Notamacropus eugenii: one gene and its partners. The protein of the gene in region 1 interacts with the protein of each later gene in a pairwise test. Links are inferred from orthologs where the notes say so. Each region holds a gene or a part of one and is shown in the gene's direction. Other genes may lie near its edges.

What was found. The genes of interacting proteins can lie anywhere in the genome.
Region 2: the proteins of RGS2 (region 1) and LRFN1 interact in a two-hybrid assay, tested with the Homo sapiens proteins (2 studies listed by BioGRID and IntAct). The link is inferred for Notamacropus eugenii from reciprocal best matches to the Homo sapiens genes RGS2 and LRFN1.
Region 3: the proteins of RGS2 (region 1) and DDR1 interact in a two-hybrid assay, tested with the Homo sapiens proteins (2 studies listed by BioGRID and IntAct). The link is inferred for Notamacropus eugenii from reciprocal best matches to the Homo sapiens genes RGS2 and DDR1.

What each region holds. Positions count from the first base shown.
Region 1 is NC_092873.1:449,848,744-449,856,525, reverse strand, and holds the start of RGS2 (regulator of G-protein signaling 2), read left to right. Parts: upstream 1-4,766; 5' UTR 4,767-4,990; coding exon 4,991-5,100; intron 5,101-6,188; coding exon 6,189-6,290; intron 6,291-6,405; coding exon 6,406-6,467; intron 6,468-7,138; coding exon 7,139-7,305; intron 7,306-7,769; coding exon 7,770-7,782. UniProt on the Homo sapiens protein: Regulates G protein-coupled receptor signaling cascades. Inhibits signal transduction by increasing the GTPase activity of G protein alpha subunits, thereby driving them into their inactive GDP-bound form.
Region 2 is NC_092876.1:32,141,746-32,149,037, reverse strand, and holds the start of LRFN1 (leucine-rich repeat and fibronectin type III domain-containing protein 1), read left to right. Parts: upstream 1-4,278; 5' UTR 4,279-4,364; intron 4,365-6,332; exon of another isoform or gene 6,333-6,362; intron 6,363-7,292. Other genes in the region: GMFG (glia maturation factor gamma), read left to right, coding at 91-164, 390-461. UniProt on the Homo sapiens protein: Promotes neurite outgrowth in hippocampal neurons. Involved in the regulation and maintenance of excitatory synapses. Induces the clustering of excitatory postsynaptic proteins, including DLG4, DLGAP1, GRIA1 and GRIN1.
Region 3 is NC_092873.1:84,698,158-84,705,025, forward strand, and holds the start of DDR1 (epithelial discoidin domain-containing receptor 1), read left to right. Parts: upstream 1-3,854; 5' UTR 3,855-4,057; intron 4,058-5,497; exon of another isoform or gene 5,498-5,722; intron 5,723-6,695; exon of another isoform or gene 6,696-6,868. UniProt on the Homo sapiens protein: Tyrosine kinase that functions as a cell surface receptor for fibrillar collagen and regulates cell attachment to the extracellular matrix, remodeling of the extracellular matrix, cell migration, differentiation, survival and cell proliferation.

The sequences.
Region 1 (7,782 bases):
ATAGGTAGGACCCCACTGGTGTCCCTTTGTTTTGAGTGAGGGAGAGCTGTGCAAGTCAAGTGCAAGTCATGTTATCTTTTCTCTGATGGCATGGTCTTCTTCAGCAACTGAAGGACGAAGACAAACCTGTGAGAAGACTCAGCTGGCTGAATGGTGACCCAGCTAGCTGGGTAACTCAGCTCCTCCTCTCCGTCTGCTTCCCCCTCCCCTTCCTTCTGCTCTCCAAAGAAAGGTAAATTTGGATGGCCAAAAGATGCCCAGTTGACTCGGTTTTACTGGCTAATTCCTCTCCTCTCCCCTGCTCTGCTCTCCCAAAACCTTAAACCTACTGCACTCCAAAGCTGGGATGCTAATGGGGTCCTGCCTAAGGGCTATTCTGGACCCTTCTAGCTTTAGAGTGATTATCCACAGTCACTGCTGCTGTTTCTCTCCCAGTCTGATGTCTTTCTTTTTCTTGGCCTCATTAAATGGGCCATGCCCTGGATGCTTCTTAAACAGGCCTATTCAATGAATGGGCATTGCCTCACCCTAAGTGAGTACCTGCAAAGACCTTGACCTAAAGGGGTCAAGGTCTCCCAATGCATCCTGGGTCATCTCCAGTCATCCTGATGAATATCTGGTCACTGGATTCAGATGGCTGTGGAGGAGATGTTAAGTATCTATGGTTGCTTTAAACTGGACTTCAGGCCCAGTACTCTATCCGCATTATCAACCAGCTGCCTCTATAGAACTACTCAAAGTAAGGATTTCCAAAAAGACATATTTCCTATAATCAGGATTTTGTACTGAGTAAAGTTGAGGAGAACAAGTCTTCTCCAACATGTGGTATCAAAGAGGGTACTTATAAACTGAATCAAGTGCTTCAATAAAAGAACTTATTAACAGATTCTGAAAAATGCAAATTTTAACAAGGTATTAATAGAACATGAGGACTATTTCTGAGCACGTCTGATGAGTGGGAAGTAGTGTGGAATTCACAAGTTCCTTTTATAAGAAGCAATTAATATCAGCTACCACAATACATGGTAAGAGAAGTGAAAGTTTTTGAGCTTCCTGAAATAGTATAAATTCTGGGCTAGAATTTTTTTTTCTATTTATTTCTTCTATATATGGTCAAAGGCTAACATTTTAGCCTTTTATCATTGAGGTATTAGTTAAATAATACTTCAACAGATCTGAGATTCAATAGTATCCTTAACAGGTTTAAATCTTATAAAAATTTAAAAATAAATCCAGGAGCTGGATCTCTCTGTATTTGGTCAAAAATCTTACCAGTAGGGGGCATGGTCATTTCAACAAGAACATAGTCAAGTTCTCAGGCTGCTAGACTTGAGCGAAGTTTATTGCTTTTTGTGTTTATTACCAACACAGGATGGAAAATATGTGCCATTTTCAAATTAAGTAATCCACTTTGACTAAAGTCTATTTGCAAGAAGAAATAAAGAAGCATATAATCAAATGAAGCACTTTTCTATTTAAGGGCAGTAATAAAATCTTTATTTTATTAAATACCATTCCTGCAAAAATACATTTTAATGTAGATTCTCTGTACAATATAGTAACTATATTAACTATCAAAATTAAATACTCACAATACTCTTACCATCTTTCCTAAATATTGTAATAGTCATAGACAATTTTAATTATGTTATAATTAGTACACATAATTCCTAGAAAAATTCATTTATAAAATTCTTTGAATATTTTAATACCTGTAATTATGCATATCCTATTTCCTAATCTTATTTGAACTACTGGTTTTCCATGAATCCCAGTTCAACTATACCTTCTAAGATTCCAAATTATGCATACATAAAAGCTGGAATGGGGGAAGGAGCATATGGAAAGAGGGAAGAGATAGAGATACAAAAACCATTTTACAGTATTAGAAAAAGAAAGCATGCATGCTTCTTACTTCCTTAATTTTTCCCCAAGAGACTGAGGGAAAATATAAATTAAATACCTGTGGGTCATCTAACGTTTCAGAATCAAGTGCCTTTCCAGGATTACACAACAGCCTTATTCTTCTGTTATTAAAATAGGTGAAGCTTCTGCCCCTGTGGTCCGTGGCCATGTATTTTTTCCATCCTTAGAGCTCCAGCTACTGGCAGATGAACATAAGAATAATTATAGTTCACTCATAACTGCACTTTAGTCTAAAGAAAGGTGAGATTTGCAACCATGCCAATACTTTGCTGTAACTTTTACAATCAGATTAGATTCTTGATAGGAAACGATTTGGAATTACATAGGAAACAAAGACTTGTGGTTCATTGGCAAAATTATCCATTTGCCTTGCAAAGATAATGTAGCTGATACAATAGATCCAGTCCCAGCTGTCATATCTATTGTGTTCTTTTCACACTGTGTGCAAGTGGAGGTGGGGTAGAGAGGGGAGGAGATGGAGAAATAAAAGGCACCTGAATATTCCGCTGCACGATAAAGATGTTCTCTGCAGTCACAGAGTTGAACTGTATAGTACAGAGGATAGAACACATCTGATGAGTAGGCAGTAATTTAATTTTCCTCAACTGAACACTGACTTTACACAATCATTTCATAAAATCAATTAATATTAACTATCACGATACATGATAGACAAGTGAAAGCTTTTGAGCTGCCTCAGCATAAATAGGATTATGCTCAATTCTGGAGGTGTTGCAGAGAAATGCAAATTATAGTACCGTGGAGGTCTTTTCTTCTTTATGGTCAGCACTCCGTGTCAAAAACTTGAGAAAGGTTAAATACATAATATTCAAATATATTGAAACATAAAATACTTGTACATCCTAATTCTGCCAAATGTCAAATGTACAGGAAAATTTTACTCTGCACGCCTATGCTTCTAAAAATAACATGGTTCAGAATGAACCCCGGTCTCTCTATACGGATTCTGGAATTGAGCCAGGTTAATAAGCATATATAATGGAATGAACCCTAAACTTGACCTGGGTTTGAGACCTGTATCTTTTACTTATTTGTTAAGTGGCCTTGGATAAGTCACTTTGCCCCAAGAACCTCAGTTATCACATCTGCAAAAGGGAGGCAGAACTGCATGGCCTCTACAATGACTTCCAGCTTAAACATTCTGTTCCACCAAAACACATGAACAAACACTTCCAACACACCTAAGAGCCAAAATCCCTACATCTTTCTACAGGATAAAATATTGGAGAGGAGAGGGGAGAGGTAGAGAGCCATGAGCAGGCGATGGATGAAAATAAATCAGTCGTTGTTGTTCAATAATCTGTCATTGTGTCCAATTCTTCGCGAACCCATGTGGAGTTTTCTTGGCAAAGATACTGGAGTGGTTTGCCATTTCCTTCTCGATCATTTTAGAGATAAGGAAACTGAAGTAAGCAGGGTTAAGTGACTCGCCCAGGGTCACACAGCTAGTAACTGAGACTGGATCTGAAGACTCAGGTCTTCCTGACTCCAGGCCCGGTGCTCTATCCATTTCACCACCTTGCTTAACTGATAGTAGGTGCTTAGCATTAAGTGGAAGTACTTAGCACTAAGGGGCAAAAGAGTTAAAAATCTAACATGGTGGAATAAAGAGATGTGGTCAGAGAGACATCCATCCTTAGGGTCTGTGATTCAACCCAACCAGCCTCTGACTACCTGTCTAACCTTGAGCAAATCACAACCTCTGGACCTCATTTTCAACATCTTTAAAACAGTGGGTTGATCTCTAGATGACCTCTGAGATTCCTTTCAGCTCTAGATCTATGAAATCTAGATTTCAATTATTGTATTCTGATAAACTAACACCTTCCTTCTACTTTTTTGTTTGAACAATTCCTGTTTCCAAACATTGTCTTAGGTGTGTTGGTCAAACCTGAGATTCTTACAATGGCTGTGTCAAAAGTAAGCACTTCCCCTTCCCGATTAGATCAGATTTTCCCCTAAATAGAACAAGGTGGACACAATCCTATTTGGGAGCCCTGCAGAGAAGGTCCAGGTGGGAGGTCATTCAGCATAACTGCATTCACCAGGCTGCCCTGACACGAACGTTTTAAGGACATCTTGAAGGGCTTCCCAGGTCAGTTCCTTAAACAGACGTAGAGGAACTGACCTGGGGCAGGAAAGCGTCCAGCTGAGACCTGAGTTAGATGAATGTATCTCAGAATCAATCTGGCCGAAGTCAGCCACAGCAGGGTTCCGAACACCCTTTGAAAAAGGTGAGACAGTTTTCAATGAAAGGCATAATACTTGGTGAGGCGAGTTTGGTTCTAAGTACTGACTGCTTTAAACTAATCAGTCTCGGAAAGTAATTTACTAGGCTCTGAGCCAATCAATTAAACAAGGATTGACTTTTTTTTAAAAAAAGTCTCTGACAGTTCACAAATTAAAGCAATTTTCTCAGTTAAAAAGCTTCACTTTTCAATTAAAATATACAATGGAGTGAGATGTACCAGGGCGGAGATGCTGAAGCCCAGATTTCAAACACGATTCTTATGAGGTGTCTTTTGGCTCATGGGGTGAGGAGGTGGGAAGAAGAGGGGGAGCACACCGAGTCGTGCCCATCTCTCTCCTTTCTCCCTGAATCAAGAACCGCTCTTTCCATCCAAGGTGGCTCCAGGTTCGTCTGGTGAGCCCCGCAGCACGCACGAAAAAGGTTAACAGCCTGAGCCATACAGTGAGAGATCTTTGTTTATTCCCTTCCCCCCCCCCCCCCCCCCCCACCTCACCCCGCAAAAAAAAACCCTTTCAGAGTTTCCAGCTCCGTTTTGGCATCACTGCGCATGAACTCACAGGGAGCACTCACGTCAGCACTGTCCTCAGCTCCAGCCCCAGTGAAGGGTGGCGGGGACTCCCGAGGCGGTCGCTGACATATCTTTTGTTCCCAGCAAATCCTCTCTGCGGCGGGGCGGAGTCGAACGCCATCGCCCTCGCCTTCCCCAGCCTCCGAGTCTTATAAAGCCCGGCGGCTCCAGGAGGAGCCTTCAGAGGCGACTGCCGTCTTCAGCCCAGTTCTCGGATCTGTATCATGCAAAGTGCTATGTTCCTGGCTTTCCAACCCAACTGCGGCTCCATGGAGAAAAGTGCCAGCAGCTACCCAAAGGGCGAAGAGAAGAGAGAAAAGATGAAGCGCACGATGTAAGCATCTCTCCCACCTACTCCCATTTCTTCTCCTTTTATGGGATTTCTTCAGAAACACTAGGCATCAGGAAGCTTTTCCCCCGGTTAGAAAAGCATAGTAAGAGGTTACTTTATAACAGGCTGTATCTCAGTCTTTAAAGGAGACTAAAGTAAGGTTGTAGCGGTTTTTATTTATCACAGTTAGGGGGAGGGAGGGTCTTGTTCTCTTATTTAAGCCAAGAAGAATAAATTGGGATGCATTTAATCCCCGGACATTCCTCGATTTTTAAAAGAAGAAATCATACTCCCTCCACTCCCTCATTAAAGAAAAATAAAAGTAGCCTGAAAATCCTGTCTTCCCGAGTTCCAGCCTTTTTCTCCGTATTCTAACTCTCCAGGTCGGTAGCTCTGCCCGACTTCTATCTTGCTCCTTGGACAGGGATGCCTTTATTGATACAGCAGGTGCTGGGCTTACGAATTTACTTCCCAAGTGAGAAGAGTTATTAAACTAGGAGACCTACTTCTTTGGCTTCTCTCTTCTTAGAAAGTATTAAAGCTCTTTTGTTTGAAAGGAGAAACTTAGAATTGCTTTTGAGAACTGTTGCACAAACTTTCCACGTAGGGCTTTATCCAAAGCCTTCAATTTTTGGAGGGGGGGGGGGGGGAGTAAGGAGGAAACTAATTAGACTGCTCTGACTCATTTCAGTGTCATTGAAGTAGATTTCACCAGATGACTGAAAATGGCCCAGAGTTGTCATAGTGTTGCAGAAACTAAAATTTCACACTGGCCAAAAGGAAAACCTGTTTCATTCACCACTTTTAGGATGACTTAAAGTTTCTCAATCATTAAAGCAACCTCACCTTGGCTACTTAATGAACCAGTAAAACCAAAAGCCATGTTCAGATCATTCAAGATAAGCTTAAACATTATTAGTGCAGAAAGGTTCATTTCACTGCAGTGCTTAGGTTTTTATTTTGGTAAGGTCTTATTTGTCTTTCTGTCGTTTAAGATTCTGTTTCTGGTATGAATAGAAGTACTTGGTAAAATGTGGGCAGCTATAATGATAAAGCATCATCACTCACTGAATATGATTGTTTCCTTTTAGCATAAAAGACTGGAAGACACGTTTAAGCTACTTCCTTCAAAACTCATCCACACCTGAGAAGCCAAAAGCCAACAAGAAAGGCAAACAGCAAGCTTTTATTAGGTAAGTTAGAGATCCCAAACTTAACAGTGGACTTTTGTCTAATGTGCATTTTGCCTTTTCTTTGAAGTAGGAGAAATTCAAATTTTTTTTTAAATGTATGCACTCATTTTTGCAGACCTTCTCCTGAAGAAGCACAGCTGTGGTCAGAAACTTTTGATGAGCTTCTTGCCAGTAAATGTAAGTGGAAATATTAAACTCAATCTGAAGTGATTTTAATCTCGGTAGCTGAATCCATGGATTATAAACTAGATTGATGTATTTTTAGAAGTTGGACATTGCAATTGTTTTCCAGGGTCAAGTCCTGTAACATAAGTAAGGTTTGGATTAGTTGTTTTTTTCTTTTCCCCTCATTATGAGGAAGTTCTGCCCTAAATTCAAACAAATGTCCTTTTTTTTTTTTAATAACCAGTGGAATTGTGTGTATTGTTATACCTCCAGTAAAATATCCTCAGGTGGGAAGAGAGTGAGAGAGTGAGACTCAGCCTGATTACAAATGCATTTGTTCACAGTTAAGGTTGAGTCAACTTTTCCTTTGCAAACAATGTTTTCAAAGGGCTTAGTTCAATAGGATTTATGGTTCCACCAGAGCTATTTCTTTTTCCTTGATAGCGTAGTTTTTATATATTTGAAGGTGCTCTGGAATGGCAATGTGCCAACCTTAAGAAATTTACCTGCTGGCATTTAAACTCTGAAACCTAGAGCTTTGCAAGTTTGAGTAAATTCTGGCAAGTTACTGCAACATAGAAAATCCTGTATTGAAGTCTTAGGTTTGTTGAAAAGATAAATAACAGAAAGTAATGTAAGACATTTTTATTTTAATAAATTCTTCACATTTCCCTCCTCTCTAGATGGTCTTGCTGCATTTAGGGCTTTTTTAAAGTCTGAGTTTTGTGAAGAAAACATAGAATTCTGGCTGGCTTGTGAAGACTTCAAGAAAACCAAGTCTCCCCAGAAGTTGAACTCAAAGGCTCGGAAAATTTATACTGACTTCATAGAAAAGGAGGCTCCAAAAGAGGTAATAATCCTTCATTTTGGCACAATTTTGAATACTTTAAGTTCTTAGCAGAATTCCAGTGAAAAGAAGGGCAAATATTCTTTTGTTTTAATAGGACAAAAGTTTTTATCCCACCATAACTTTCCATATTTTCCCCCAATATTAACTTTAGAGTATTAGGGCATGGTCCTTAATATTTTTTCATGACAAATATTAGCTGTTATCATTATAGCATTTTGAAATATGTTAACTGCTTTCCATACAACAGCTTCCTTGAACTGGTCCATTCAAATGTTATCTCCAGTTTTTACAAATAATGAAACTGACTCTGAGAAGTTGTGACTGACCCACAGTTACAAAGCTAGAAGTATGAAGCTGCACTATTCTAGATTCATGCCCAGTATTTTATGACATCTGAAATTTAGTTATTCAACATTAATATGATGTGCTGAAACTTAACAAACCATTGTCCATTTCTATTTCAGATAAATATAGACT
Region 2 (7,292 bases), on another chromosome or scaffold:
AGATCCTTATAGTCCTACCCCAGGGGCCCTCTCCCTAGTAATACTTTCTTTCTTCCCATTGACCCCACGATTTCCACCCCTACCTACCAGGCTGTAAACCGGAACAGCAAATGATGTATGCAGGAAGCAAAAACCGACTCGTACAAACTGCCGAGCTCACCAAGGTCGGGAGCTTTGGGTTCCTGAGGTGGGGGAGGGGTGGTGTCCATAGGGTTTGGCCACGAGGGTTGTAAGTACCACCCCTTCCTGCCCTGGGACCAGAGAACCACGAGAGGGCACTTTAGATGCTTGAAGACAGATAGCTGGCCCCCCAGCCACTTCTCTGATTGCCTGAGTCCCTGAGATATTTCCCAATCCCCAGTCCATTCATTCTCTCGATCCCTCATTAGGTGTTTGAGATCCGCACCACAGATGACCTGACAGAGACTTGGCTTCAGGAGAAATTGGCCTTCTTCCGTTAGCTGGGGGTAGCCGGAGATGTCCAAGGATCTGGAGACGGGACACCTGGTTTCTGGGAAATGAAATACCCTCCGACAAAATAAACTAGTGAAACCTGACCTGACCCTAGTAGTTATCCTGACTCCGCCCATGCAGCCTCTGCAGGGCCCCATGTGGTCAGCAGAGGGCAGTCAGCCATCACAGAAGTGGGAGGCCGAATGCAGGCAATCCGGGTCCCACTCTGGAGAGGCTTAGGGAAAGGACACCAGGTTCCCTGAAAGGGTAGAGGGCTGAGTGATGGGCCACCTGGGTCCCTAAATGAGCAGAAGGCAGGGGCGCAGAAAGCGTCTGTCCTGAGAGGGAGAACTAAGAGGCACAACAGCTGGGTTTCGAAGAGAAGGAGGCTATAGGAACCAGACATCAGTCCTAGAGAGAGAGGGGGACTGGTAGCTCCCATATTCTTGCAAAAGCTTGCCAGTCATTTTCAGCTTTTCCTTTTCCTTCAAGGAAGGGGTCGGTAGGGGAACCGACACTTAGGGAAAGATAATGAGACTCAAAATTATTTGAGAAAGAGAGTAGAACCACATGGAAGTGCTTTCTGAGGTCTAACCACTCTCCTCAGTGTTGGGGTCAGACTTCTCCTCCCTCCTTCTACAGCTCCACTATAATGTGTGGGTTGGGGGGTAGCTGGAGATACAAGAGAGCATGAGCCAGGCCCGTGCCCCACACCCCTCAGAGATCAAGGTGTGCCCTGGTCCAGAGCAGATGCTTCTTTTGCTCAAGCTGAGGCCATGTTTCCATGGCAACCAGCTATCATCCCCAGGTCTCCAGGCCAGAGAAGTATGTCTCCAACCTCTAGATGAAGGGACTTTACCCCAAGGCTCAAGGGGCAAGGAAGGGGCTCCTCAATTAATTTTCTTTGTTTCTTTTAGGGTTGTGGGTTCTGTTAGGATTGTATCTATGCCCAACCACTGGAAGCAGAGTCCCCAGTTCTTGATCACAGGGGTCAAGCAGAGTTCTCCCCATTTCCCTCCAAAGGTGTCTCCCATTCCTACCTCACATACCTGGATCTCCTTCCTTCCTCCCTTGGTATAGAGGGTTCCTATGATCTCTATAATTCCCTAAACTTGGGGTGGGGGTAGCAGAGAGGAAGCACCCGCCCACCAGACAGCAGGGTTTGTCAATCTGGGAATTAGCATGCAAAGGAGGAGGTGGTGGCAGGAGGAGATTAAAGCAGTAAAGTCACCAAACAATTTAATGTAATTGCTTCAGGGAATGGGGAGTAAGAGGGAGGGAGTAAGATTGCCCACCATCCCTGTCTGAAAGGAGGATCAGCGGTCCAAGTGGACCCCATAGAAAGGGGCCTGGAAAGCCACAGTGGGGGGAAGAGAGAGCCAAAGGATCCCTGTGTTTCCCTTCTCTGACTCCTAGTCTCTAGAGCCAGGAAAGCCCCTCCTCCTCCTCCTCTTCCTCCTTCATTCCCAGGTTACTTGAAGGAAAGTGGTAGCTGTTGCCATGGTAACAATGACATAGTGACCTTGGGCCCCAGCCACCCCAGCCACCATTGATTCCAAGTCTCTGCAGTAGAGGGGCAGGAGTTTCCAGGCTGATCCTTCTCTTACCCCCTTCAGGAGGACTTCCCTTCCATTTCCCTTCTCTCCTATCTCATCTCATAGTCTAATGCCTGTAGCCAGGATGGAGATGCTAGTACCAGGCCTCTTCATAATAAGGCAGTCTGGTGGTCCGGGTAGCACAGAGGCAGACTCAGTCATCCTCCCCTCCAGTTCATATGGAACCCCACCTTTACCCATTTTACTGATCACTGGTTGGACTCTTGGAGACTCATTAGCTCTTCATTCACTGGGTCTCAGCTTCCTTGTCCCTAAAATGGGCAGATGAGAATAAGGCATCACAAGCTCCCAGTTTTAACATTTTGTGATCCCCTACACTCTCTCTCACTCTGATTTGTTGTGGTGGAGGATGGGGGAGTGAGAGATCCCAAGCACCAGAGAAGGAAGGGGTTGAGGCTTCCAGGAAGTGGAAGTTCCATAAGTTAATTAGTAATAAATACCACATAGGAATTATAAATCCCCTGCCCTACCCAAAGAAGAAAAATCTGATTCTTAGTGGATTTGAGGAGGAGCAGGAAGCAGCATGGTACGGTTTGATTTTTTTGCCCCCAAGAGACCTTGGCAGAGCAATTTGTCCCCTTCAATGCAGAAGGTTCAATTAGAGATGGGTGCTGGGAAGGGGACCTGAACTGGGCAGGGCCATCTGGATTGTAGAATAACCAGAGTGGAAATTTCAGAAGCTTTTGTCCAATCCAGGTTGAGTAGAGTGGAGTTTAGTCTGGGGAATTCTAGAAGGACCAGTCAGAGAAGGTACTGAGAAGGCTTCTGTTCAACCCGGAATGGCCAGTATAGGGCAAAACTGGACAACTTGTAGACTGATGAATCAGACAAGGTTACTGAGAGGGTTTGGTGGAATCATTTCCCTTCCATGCCCCTTAGTTTCTACCTCAGTTAAATGGAAGGGTTGACCTGGGTGACCTAGGTCCCTTTTGGCTTAAAGGTGTGTGTGTTCCTATCATTACTAGAATCCCTTGTCTTGTGAGTCTATCCCAAGAGGGTGTTTTGGACCAAAGACTTGTGGAGGGACTGGATGAAGGGGGAGATGGAGAGGATGCTGTAAAAGACTTTTGGGTGATCAGGGATGCTGAGAAGCAGGCTAGGTCTGAAGGATTGCAGAAAGGCCTTGGAGAAGATGAGTGGGCTGGTCTGTTCTAAGTATACCTCCCTCCTCCCTTTCTCACCCCTCTGCCGCACCAAACTCCTAGTCCCAGCTTTCCAGGTTTTGCTCATCCCCAGCTATCCCATCCTTTTTAGACTCAGTCCAGGTGGGGGTCTTCTTGGGGGCGTTCAAGAGAGAACTGAATCATAAAATCATAAATAGACCAATCAGAAGGCCTGATTGGTAGACAGAGAAAAGGTTGGGGTATGGAAAAAAGGAGGAGTATAGGGCTGGGGCTAGGCCAGGTGGATGGGGGAGGCAGACCACAAGGATGCAGACGGGGGCAGAGAAGGCCCTCTTTCACCAAAGATAGAAACTGGCCTCCCCCAGGAAGGAGGTGTCCTTTCTCTGGATCCCAGGTCCGTCTTCATCTCCCACGGCTCAGGACCTCCTTGCTGAGCCCCTACTGTGTGCAAGGTCCAGTCGCCATGGCTGGCGCTGGCGCCCGAGTTTCTGCCCCGATTTCCCGGGCTGTGTCTCTGTCTCCATGCCTCCTGGCTCTCCCCAGCCTTCCCCTTCCATTTCCATCACCATCTCTTCCAGTTCCACGCGGACCCTCCTCCTCCTTCTGCAGCACGACCTCGCCCCCACGCGAGTCCATCTGGTCCGCTGAGGCAGGGGACCAGGGGGACCCTGCCACGCGGGGGTCCCAGACCTGGCATGGCCCCTCCCTCTGCGGACGGGGGTTGGGGGGCGGAGAGAAGCCGGGGCCAAAACCCGACCGCCACGGTGGGGGGCCTCGGCTGGGAGGGGTCCACGGTGCTCTCGCTCCCGGACCCGGGAGCAGGGGAGGGACCCAGGCGCGCCCGCCTCCCCGCCCCCTCGCCCCTCCCTTCCGCTCCCCTCCCCCCTTTTGCAGATCGGGCGCCCGCGCCCCGCGCTGTGCGGAGGGAGGAGCCGCGCGCCGAGCCTCGGCGGTACCGCGCCCCCCCCGCCCCCTCCCCCCAGCCCTCCCGGCCCCGGCCCCCCTCCCTCCTTCCCTCCCTCCCTCCCTCCTCCGTCCCCATCCCCCTTCCCTCTCCGTCCCCTCCCCTCCCCTCCCCTCCCCCCGCCATGGCGCGGACCGAGGCGGCGGCGGCCGGAGCCAGAGCCAGAGCCCGGGACCGGGCCGGGGCCGGGGCCGGGCCCCCCCGGAGGTGAGCCCGGGTCCGGGGCGGGGAGCGCGGGGGACGGGAGCGTGAGCGCTGGGCGATGGGCGCTGTGGATGGAGGACGTGTGCGCTGCGGGCCGTGTGCGCGTGTGTCCGCGCCGCTGCGGTGCCGGGGTCCGGGGGTCCGGGCGTGTCTGGGTGCGCGCGTGTGGCCGGGGCTGCCGGGGCCGGCTCGCGTGCCCGGCATCTGTGGATCTGTGCGCCCTGATGTGTTTGCTCGTTGGTGTGTCCGTGTGTGCTCGTCTGCATGTGTGTGTCCGTGTGTGTCCGCCCGTGGGCCTGTATGTCTCCGAGTCTGTCCATGTGTCTCCGTGGGTGTCCGTGTGTCTCAGGGACAGCTCCTGCCTCAAGCCCTTGGGAGGGGAGCGGCAGGGGGGGCACCGTGGGCCTGGGTCCCTGGGGCTTTCTCTGCGGGGAGGACTCAGTCGTTTTCTCCCCTGCCGGTGAACAGACCTAGGGCTAAGCCAGGGGCTGGGAGCCGGACGCATGGACACCGACTCCAGGGGAGAAAGGTGGAATCTGACCGGAGACTACCCCCTCCCTTTCGAAGGGGGAGGCCAGCCCAACCCTGCCCCTCCTAGCTACATCTCCCAGGATCCTTCAGAATCTGCCCAGATCCGTGGGGATCCTCAGGCCTCACGAGGGAGGGGGCCCTGAGGGACCCTGCCGTAGGCCCAGATCGGATTTTATTTGCAGGATTCTCTCCTCCCTTTCCAACACCAGCACATTTCAGTGTTTTGGGAATGGGGCCTGGAGGAAGCCATGAGAGAGACTCCTGGACCCCATTCCCTCCAAACCCAGACATCCACCCCCCTCACTCTCCCCTTGTCCCCCTCCATCCCAGACCCAACCCTACCTGCCCCATTTCCATCTCAGGAGACTTGACCTTCTGACCCCTCATCTTTGTTCCTTAAATCCTGATTCCCGGAGGCCCAGATTCCTGGTTCTCTTTCCCTTGACTGGGGTCAGGTTTGGTCCTAGACTTCCCCTTTGGGGTGGTGAGAACTGGACCAAGGTGAGGCTGGAGTGAGAGATCCTGGGATCCAAGTGTGATTAGGTCTGCTTGTTACTGCCTGGCTGTGGGTCTGTGTCTTTCTGTGTGTGTGTGTATATGTGTTTGTGTGTGTGTGTGTGTGTGTGTGTGTGTGTGTGTGTGTGTGTGTAAGAAACCATGTGCTACCAGCCAGTCTCCTCCCTTCCCACAGCTTTTTGTGTCTATGTATCTGTGTGTCAGGGTCCCAGCATATATTTTCACTGGCTGGGCTTTTTGTCAACTGCCTGTGTACATGGGGAATATATGTTATATGTGATATGAGTATGTGCAAATACAGGTATGTTCTTATGGTAGGTTGTGCATGCCTTCCAGTGGGGACCTGTATGTGCTGGCACGTGTGAGAACAGGTGTGTGTACAAGCATGTCTAAGCATGTGCTGTGTGTCTTGGCATGACATGGAGATTACACATCAGTGAGGATGTTGAATCTGTGGACCTACCTTCTTTCCTTCTTCCTCAGTGGGCATGAAGGACTGGGAGCCTAGGATACTTATGTTCCCTTTAGAGAGGCAGTTTTGGGATAGAGTGTTGTCTCTGGAATCACAAAGACCCGGGTTCAAATTCTGTCTCTGACACTAGCTTGGAAACCACTGGCAAGCAAGTCAACCTGATTCCCTGAATCTGCAAAATGGGGAGGTTGATAACATTTAGTGCCTATCCCAAAGGTTTTGCTGTGAGGCTCAGATGATATGTAAGTGAATATTAACAAACAAACCATGAGTTGTTCTGGAGGGCCTGGAATCTTGGGTTATCAGGTTTGTGTCAAAGCCCAAAGCTCTGTTGCCCTGGGCCAAAGTGAAGGACTGGGGAAGCTGCAGCAGGAAGGATAAGAGAAAGACTGCAGAAGGGACTTCCCCAGTCCCCAGGTGGGACTGATGGGGGAATGTTGCTGTCTTTCCAGGTGGTGCCGGCCATGAATTCCTGAGGAGAGGTGAGCTGAGAAGTCAGATGCTGGAGGGGGCAGCTTGGAGAAGCATGTCTTGGGTGAAGGGGTAGCTTAGCCTGGTATATGGGGGGGGAGGTTGGAGAAAAACTGGGGGGAAGGTGTCATCTTTCGCCACATGGATAGTCACATATGATAGTGGAAAGGACACCCAGGATAGGAATTTCTTGATGAGGTAGAAGAGGGAAAAGGGAGACAGGTGGCTGACTCTGCTCCTACCAGCCTAGGGGAGGAGTTTGGGTAGAGCTAGTTGATCAGGATCCAGCATATGTAATGTAAGCCCAACCTCCAAGTGATGCTGTGAGATGGGATTGGGGGTCACAACACTGTGGAGGTGGTTTTTGAGGGGCTCCTGCCTGCCCTCCCTAGGCCCAATTTCTCCCTTGCTGGTCCAGACTGAGGGACAGAAACTGAGCAATAGAGGACGAAGAAATCCAGGAGACAAAGGAAGAAAAAAGATAGAGAAACTCAGAGACAGAGATGGAGAAACAGGCACAAGGACTCTGAGACACTGAGAAGCAGAAACGAAAAACTAGATACAAGAAGTGGGAGGCTCAGAGAAATGGAGAAATTGACATAGGGGACTGAAAGGCTGAGAGACAGAGAAGAGAGGAACAGAGAACCCCAAAGACAGTGGACCAGAAATACAGCTTCTGAGGACCTCAGAGATAAGAGAGAGGGGAGGAGAAAGATATCTGAAGACAAATAGACACAGGAAGTGAGAGGGAGAGGGGGGCAGAGACAGAGAGAGAGACAGACACATAGACAGAGATAGAGAGACAGATACATAGGGAGACAGACAGACAAAGAGAAAGATGGACACATAAGAGTACAGAGATAGAGGGAGAAAGATAGACACATAGGAAGACAGAGAGAGACACACATAGGAAGACAGAGAGAGAGACAGGCATAGGGAGA
Region 3 (6,868 bases), about 370 Mb from region 1:
CTATAGCTCTGGGTCCACCAATGAACAAGTCTAATATATTTTTCAACATTATAGCCCTTCAAATACTACATCAGCAAATGTTAATGGATAGCTGTGTGTCAGAAACTATGCTAGGTCTTAGGGATAGAAAGATAATAGTGAAATAATTTGTGCCCTCAAGGAGCTTACAGTCTTGGGAAGACACAGCACATTCACACACACGTGCACACACACAAAGATAGGTAATATAAATAAAGAATTTATTTAGCACATACTATATGCGAGGGATACATGGGATATTCAGGGAGGAGTAGTACCTTTGGTGTGAGGGCTGTTTTCAGGGATGCTCCCATCTTTGACCCAACTCTCACACGTGGGTCCAAGAAGCTGTATGTAGCATGTGCAGTGGTCACACTCTGGTAAAACCATCTTGGCAGATGGGCTAGACCAGGTTGACAGTAACTGACTGACCTCAAATCCATTGGTGAGTTAGAAGGATGTCTACCACAAACATGTGAAGACTTTCCCCAGTGCAATGGAAAGATGAGGACAATTTATTCCAGAGGCCATGAAGGCAGCTGAAGTGGGCTCTGTGGAGTAGTTAGAGCTTGATCAGACATCAAAGACTCCACTCCAAGGTCATTCACTGCATCTCAGGCCATCTCTAGTTGTTCTGACTTTTGCCTTGCCACTGAACTGTGATTATTCTGGAAGAGAGTGGTCATGGAATTTGGAACTCAAAACTTTTTTTTAAAATATCTTAAAAGTTCTTTTAAAATATAATTGGGGAAAATAAAATATTATATAAAAAAGAGAAAGTGAAACTGATGACTTTGTACAACTCTTTCACTTAAACATAAATTACTTAAATATAAAAAATTTCTATATATTGGCCCTTCAAAATGAAGGACAAATGACACCAACTATATGCCAGGCATTGCATATCCAAAACAGATTCAAGATAAAATCTTGAATTTTATTCAAGTACTAGTGACTGAGGGGACAGAAAAGATTTACTGTAGAAAATAGTATTTAATCTGATCCTTGAAGGAAACTAGGGATTTTAAAGAGGGGAAGGTACATTATAGAAATGGGGGATGGGAAATTCAAAGGCATTGAGATGGGGGATAAAGTGCCTTTATCCTAAAGAAGAATAAAAAGGCTAGTTTGGCTGGATGTTAAAGGGGACTAATATATGATAAAGCTGGAAAGGTAGGTTGGGGGCAGATTATGAAGGGCTTTAAATGCCAGACTGAGAAATTTACATTTAGTCCTAGAGGTAATGGGAGCGTCTGGAGAATATTGAGTAGGGGAGTGGCATGGAAAATCACTTTAGTAGTTATTTGAAAGATAGGTTATAGTTGGGAGAGATGAGGCAGATATACCAATTAAGAAGCTGTTGAAATAGTTCAGGCAAGAAGTTATGAGGGCTTGAATGAGGGTGGTGGCCTGGTAAGTGAAAAGGGAACAGATAAGACAAGTACTGTGGAGATAGAAATGACAAGATTTGGCAACTGATTGGATATGTAAGAGAATAACAAGTGAAAATGTTGTTAGATGTTGTTAACTTGAGCTGAAAAATGGTGATATCCTAGATAGATATAGGGCTAGAAGAAGGGTGAGTTTTGGGAAAAAGTTAATGAGTTCTGGATATATTGAATTCGACATGCCTATGGGAATACAGTTTTAAATGTCTCATAGGCAGTTTGTGACGTGGGATTGAAGTTTAGGAGAAAGATTAGGGCTAGATGTATAGATCTAGAAGTCATCAGATTAGAGATGATAATTAAACCCATGGGTGTTGATGAAGTCACCAAGAGAGAAAGTATAGAGAAAAAACAGAAGAGGACCCAGGACAGAGCTTTAGAGGTACATCTACTGTTAAAGGGCATGATAAAGAATGATGAACCTCTAAAGGAGACTGAGAAAGAGCGGTAGAAGAAAATTAGAAGGAAAGCCACGGAAGCAGTGGTACAAAAAAACCAGAGAAGCTAAAATGCCCAAGAATAGAGGGTGATCAAAACTGTCAAGTGCTGCCCAGAGGTCAAGGAGGACTGAGAAAAGGCCACCGCATTTGACAATTAAAAGATCAGAGGACAACTCAAAGACAACAACCTTTCTAACTATTCCTCCTAAATTCTGTCTTCTGGCTAAAGAAACTGAGAATATTATATTGATCATTGTATGGCATAGTTTTGAGTACCTTTACTACAATGATAACTGTTCTCTGTATTTTCTTTTGATCTCTTCTGTATTTTTAAAAAAACTGCTTTAAAGACCCTTTTTTCTTCTTTTTTCCTTTCTTTCTCCAAGCAATGCTATTGCTAGCTTCCCCGTTCTCCAAAAACCAAAAACCAAATCTTTTTTGTAACAAATAAGCATTGTCAAGCAAAATAAATCTACACATTTTCAATGTCCAAAAGTATGTTTCATTCTGTACCTTGATTCCATCACCTCTCAGTTGGGAAGTGAGTAGCATTCTGCATCACTCACTGATCCTCAAGACTTATGGTTGGTTATCGAATGAATCAGTCTTCCAAAAGCTCTTTCAAAGTTTTGCTCACTTTTAATTTGCATCAAATCATATAAGTTTCCCAGAATTCTCAGAAACATCCCACTCATTATTTGTTATGGTATAATACTATTACATATACCATTACTTATCTGTATGCCATTCATATACCATAATTTGTTCAACCATCTTTTAACTGACGGGCATCTTCTGTTTATAGTTCAAAAGGAGCTTCTACAAATATTGATGTACAGATGGACCCTTTTCCTTTTTCTTTGATCTCTTTGGGGAGAAGCTTATATTCTAATAGACATCCTTCATAGGGAAGTAGGACCTAGGAAATGGTATTTTGACTTGGAAAATACAGAAACTATAGTTACAATAAAAAATACCGATGATGACATTGTTTGTGGGCATAAACAGGCCTAGAGTTGACCCCTCAGAGTTTGTTGAGAGATTTTATCACCTGCTGGCCCCGTTTTCCTCACTATGGTTTTGGGGCCCCTGTTTAAGCACTACCCCTGTCTATCCACTAGGGCTCAGACATAAACCATAGAACTCAGGTGACTCTGGTTTTCTATAACTCAGAGTCAAAGAACAAACTCTCCAGGGATGACGTGTGAAGCCAAAAGGAAAGCCTCTGGGAGACTTAATATATGTCTTCTGGTATTTTAAAGGTTATCATGTGGTAGAGAGATTAGACTTGTCTAGTTTGGCCACAGACGGCAGAATCAGGACCAATGCATGGATGTTGCAAAGATTCAAATTCCAGTTTTGATTTAGAGAAAACTTCCAAACAATGAACACTGACCAAAAGTGTAATAGGCTATCTTGGAAGGAGGAAGGTTCCTCCTCATTGAAGATCTCTCATCTGCGTTTGGATGGCCACTTGTAGAGTTTGCTATGTTGGAAAATTCCTGGTAGAGAGGTTTGACAGCCCCTTCTGTCTCTGATCAGTGATTCTGTGAGCTGCTATCCCTACTGTGCATTACCACCAAATTCCAGTCTCTGCTTCTGTGCAAAGGCTGCTCCTTTCAGCCCATAGAATGGATTCTCACCTGCATCCCTTACCTGTGCCAGTCCTACAGCTGCCCTATCTTGCTGACTGAATAAAAGGGGCCACACATGTTGTATCCTCACATCTCTGCCTCTTAAAAAAAAAAATCTCCCTTTGTTCAAGCTGTCGCTTTGTCTAGCTGTTTTGTTGTTGTTCTATTTTCCCATGCAGCCTCCTTTCTTACTCGGCTTTTCTCCACCTAACCTTGCCCTCCCCCACTTTGCCTGGCTCTTAGCACTACTCTCCCAGCGGGGGCTGAGAAGGCTTGGAAGAGGGGTATGGGACTGGCGTTGCCATGACCACCACAAAGCCGGCCGCAGCTGGTCGGGGCAGCTGCTCCCAGGATCCTGTGCTGGGACTAAGCACCGCCCTGAGTGGACAAAGCCAAGGAACCGGGAGGCCCTCGGGCCCCACGGCAGGCACCCCCCCCTCCAAATTCTGGGCCTAAACGGAAAGGACCCAGGGGATCCCTGAGCCCAGCCACAGGTCAGAGGTGGGGGAATGAAGAGGTGAGTGATCTGGGGGTTGGAAGGACTGCGGTTTGGACGTCCCTCTCTGGGAGAAAGGACAGACAGAAAGGGAGGGACAGACCAAGTCACTGCCTGGAAGAGAAGGGCGGAGGGGAGAGAAGATTGGGGATGGGGAAAGAAGGTAGCAGGAGTGGATGGGAGGGGAAACGGGGCCTATTAGGAATAGGGAATGTGGAATAGTTAGGGTGTGGAGAATTGTGCTAGGGAAAGGGATGGGGGTTGGGAGCTGAGGTGGGTAGGATGCTACTAGGTTGTGGACTTTCTGATCTATGTGACCTCATCTTCCACTTCAATATCCTTCATCTTTCCCCTTTTTTCTCTTAGTCTCCCTATCTTCTGTGTTCCATCACTCCCTTTCTTGCTTCTAGTGACTTTTTCATTTCCCTTGCTCCTCAGCTTGTATGTTTCTCTCCCTCAGTTCTGGTTACCCTCTCCATACATCTATTTTATACACACCCCCTTTTTTTCAGTTTCTCACGCTTTTACTATCCTCTCCCTTCAGTCATTCCTTCGAAGGGTTATTAAACTAATCTTGCTTTTACATTGAACTGGCCATGTCACTCCTTTGCTCAAAACCTTCCTATGGTTTCCTATTATCTACAAAGTTCAATCTCCTTAATATTCAAGAACCTCCATTTAGTACCACTCATCCATCTTAGTCTTCTTTTATACTACTTCCCTCCCCTCCCCCTTGGAGTATTTTATGCAGCAATCAGAGTGGACCCACTGTACAGTGGCTTGGAATTTTCTACCTCTGTGCTTATACTCACAGGGTATTCTATGCCTGGAATGTTTTCCCCTCTGTTGAATTCTTCCTCATGCTTTAAGGTGTAATTTAACTGTTGCTTTGTGGATGAAGCCTTCCCTGTTTCCTCCTCTTACTCCCTGCTCCCCACACCAGAATGTAGTTCCTCACATCTTTGTCTTTACTTCTCTTTTCACTTCTCTCTTTTACTTCACTAAAGTAATTTTGTATTTATAGATATTTGTGTATGTTATAGCTTTTTTTAGATTGTAATTTCCCTGAAAACAGGTGCTTTTTGTGTTCACCAGCACTAACGTGGTCCTCTGAAATTTACTAGAATTCTGTTAGCCTTACCCTATTTCTCCACACCTACCTCCCTCAGTTGTTCCTTTGCATCTTCCTCTTTTCTTTTCCCCACTTTTCTTTAGGATCCCCAGACTCATCCCCTCCTTCTTTCTCACCTTTCTGTTTCTCAGCCAAGAGGCTCTTTCCTTTTCCTTTCAGTTTTTTATCTCCCCATTTTAGTGACCCCCCCCCCCAAACTCCTCTCCTTTATCTATGATTCTTATTTTCATTTTCTTTCACAATAGGACCAGAGCATGGTTCAGTGATCTAAGTATCAGGCCTTCCCAGTTTGGTTATTACCAACCTCCCCCACCTTCACCCCCAAATACCTTTTATATGAAGGCTCCTTTGCTTTCTGTCCCCCCAGCTGTTTTCCTGCTTCTTCCCAGAGCCAGCTGCATCTCCAGGAGGAAATCTAGCCTATTATGGGAGGTCCATCCAGCTTGATCTTTCCTTCTTCTTGATGTTTCCCAACAGTGGTTGGGTGGTCTGCTGAGCTGGGAGCTTCATTCTCCTGTTGCCCCCTCCCCAGCCTTCAGCTTCTCCAGTTGCTCTCCCTGACACAGCTGTGCTGTCCCCCATGGGCAGTAAATTCATAGATTGCTAGAGCCAGAGGACCCCTTATAAATCATCTAGTCCAATCATCTCCTTTAACAGGTGGGGAAATGGAGGCCCACAGAGCTACTTTAGGTATGACTTGCCCAAGGTCACACTGCTAGTTAGGACTTTGGACCTACTTAGTCCTGCTCCTTTTCCTATTCTAAATTGCCATTTGAAGCTTACTGCCTGGCAAGATGAGGATAGCCAAGGACATGGGAACTCCTAGCAAATGAGATGTGGCTGTGTGGAATTGGAGAAACATAGGGTCCTCAGGGGAATTTAGATGATACAAAGACATGAGGGCTTGTGGGGAAAGAAAAAGGTCCTGGGATGATGACTTGGGAACCTCTAAATTGGGGTGGAAAGGCTATGGGGACTCTAGGGAGGTGGAAATGAGGACATCAAGACTCTCCTTATGGGGAAATTGGGGTCCTTTGGCTTGCTCTGGAGCCATCTGTATTGCTGGGCTCTCCCCTCTCCCGCCCCTGGGAATCTCGGCTCCAGTCTTACATTCCAGTTGGCTCCAGCCTCCTTTCCCTTGTCACTTGACTCCGCTTGGCACAGCATACTTCCCCTTCCCACTCTCTCCCCCCTCCACAGGCTGTCTACCCCCAGTCCCCTGGCCCTAGGCTGGGGTGCTCTGGAAGGAATTAAGATGACTGAGTACCTTAGCCCAGGGACTGCTAGGGGACTGGGGCCATGCTAGGTTTATAGTCTTCCCAGATCTCCCTTTCCTGCCTTGACCCCTCTCTGTCTGGCATTACCTTATCATGAGTCCAGGGTCAATATTGATCTGGAGTGGGGAATGTCTCAATGGAGTGCAAGGGGCTCAAACTCCATTCCTGAAAAGTCTGGCTCTGGCTTTATGTCCTCCCTCACTGGAGTTTCCCTTTCTCGTTGTTGCTGCTACATCTGCCTGCCAGGATCGTAGTCATCTCCAGCCCCCTGGAAAAGGAGGATGGGGGTGGAGGCTGAGGTGTGGTTACCTATTCTAGGACCTAGCCCCTCCCTCCTGCTCAGGTCCGCCTACCCCCCTCCCTACCCCTCCTTGTCTGGCCTCTCTGGGAACCCAGTTTCCCCATCTGCCTGCCGATCTCTTC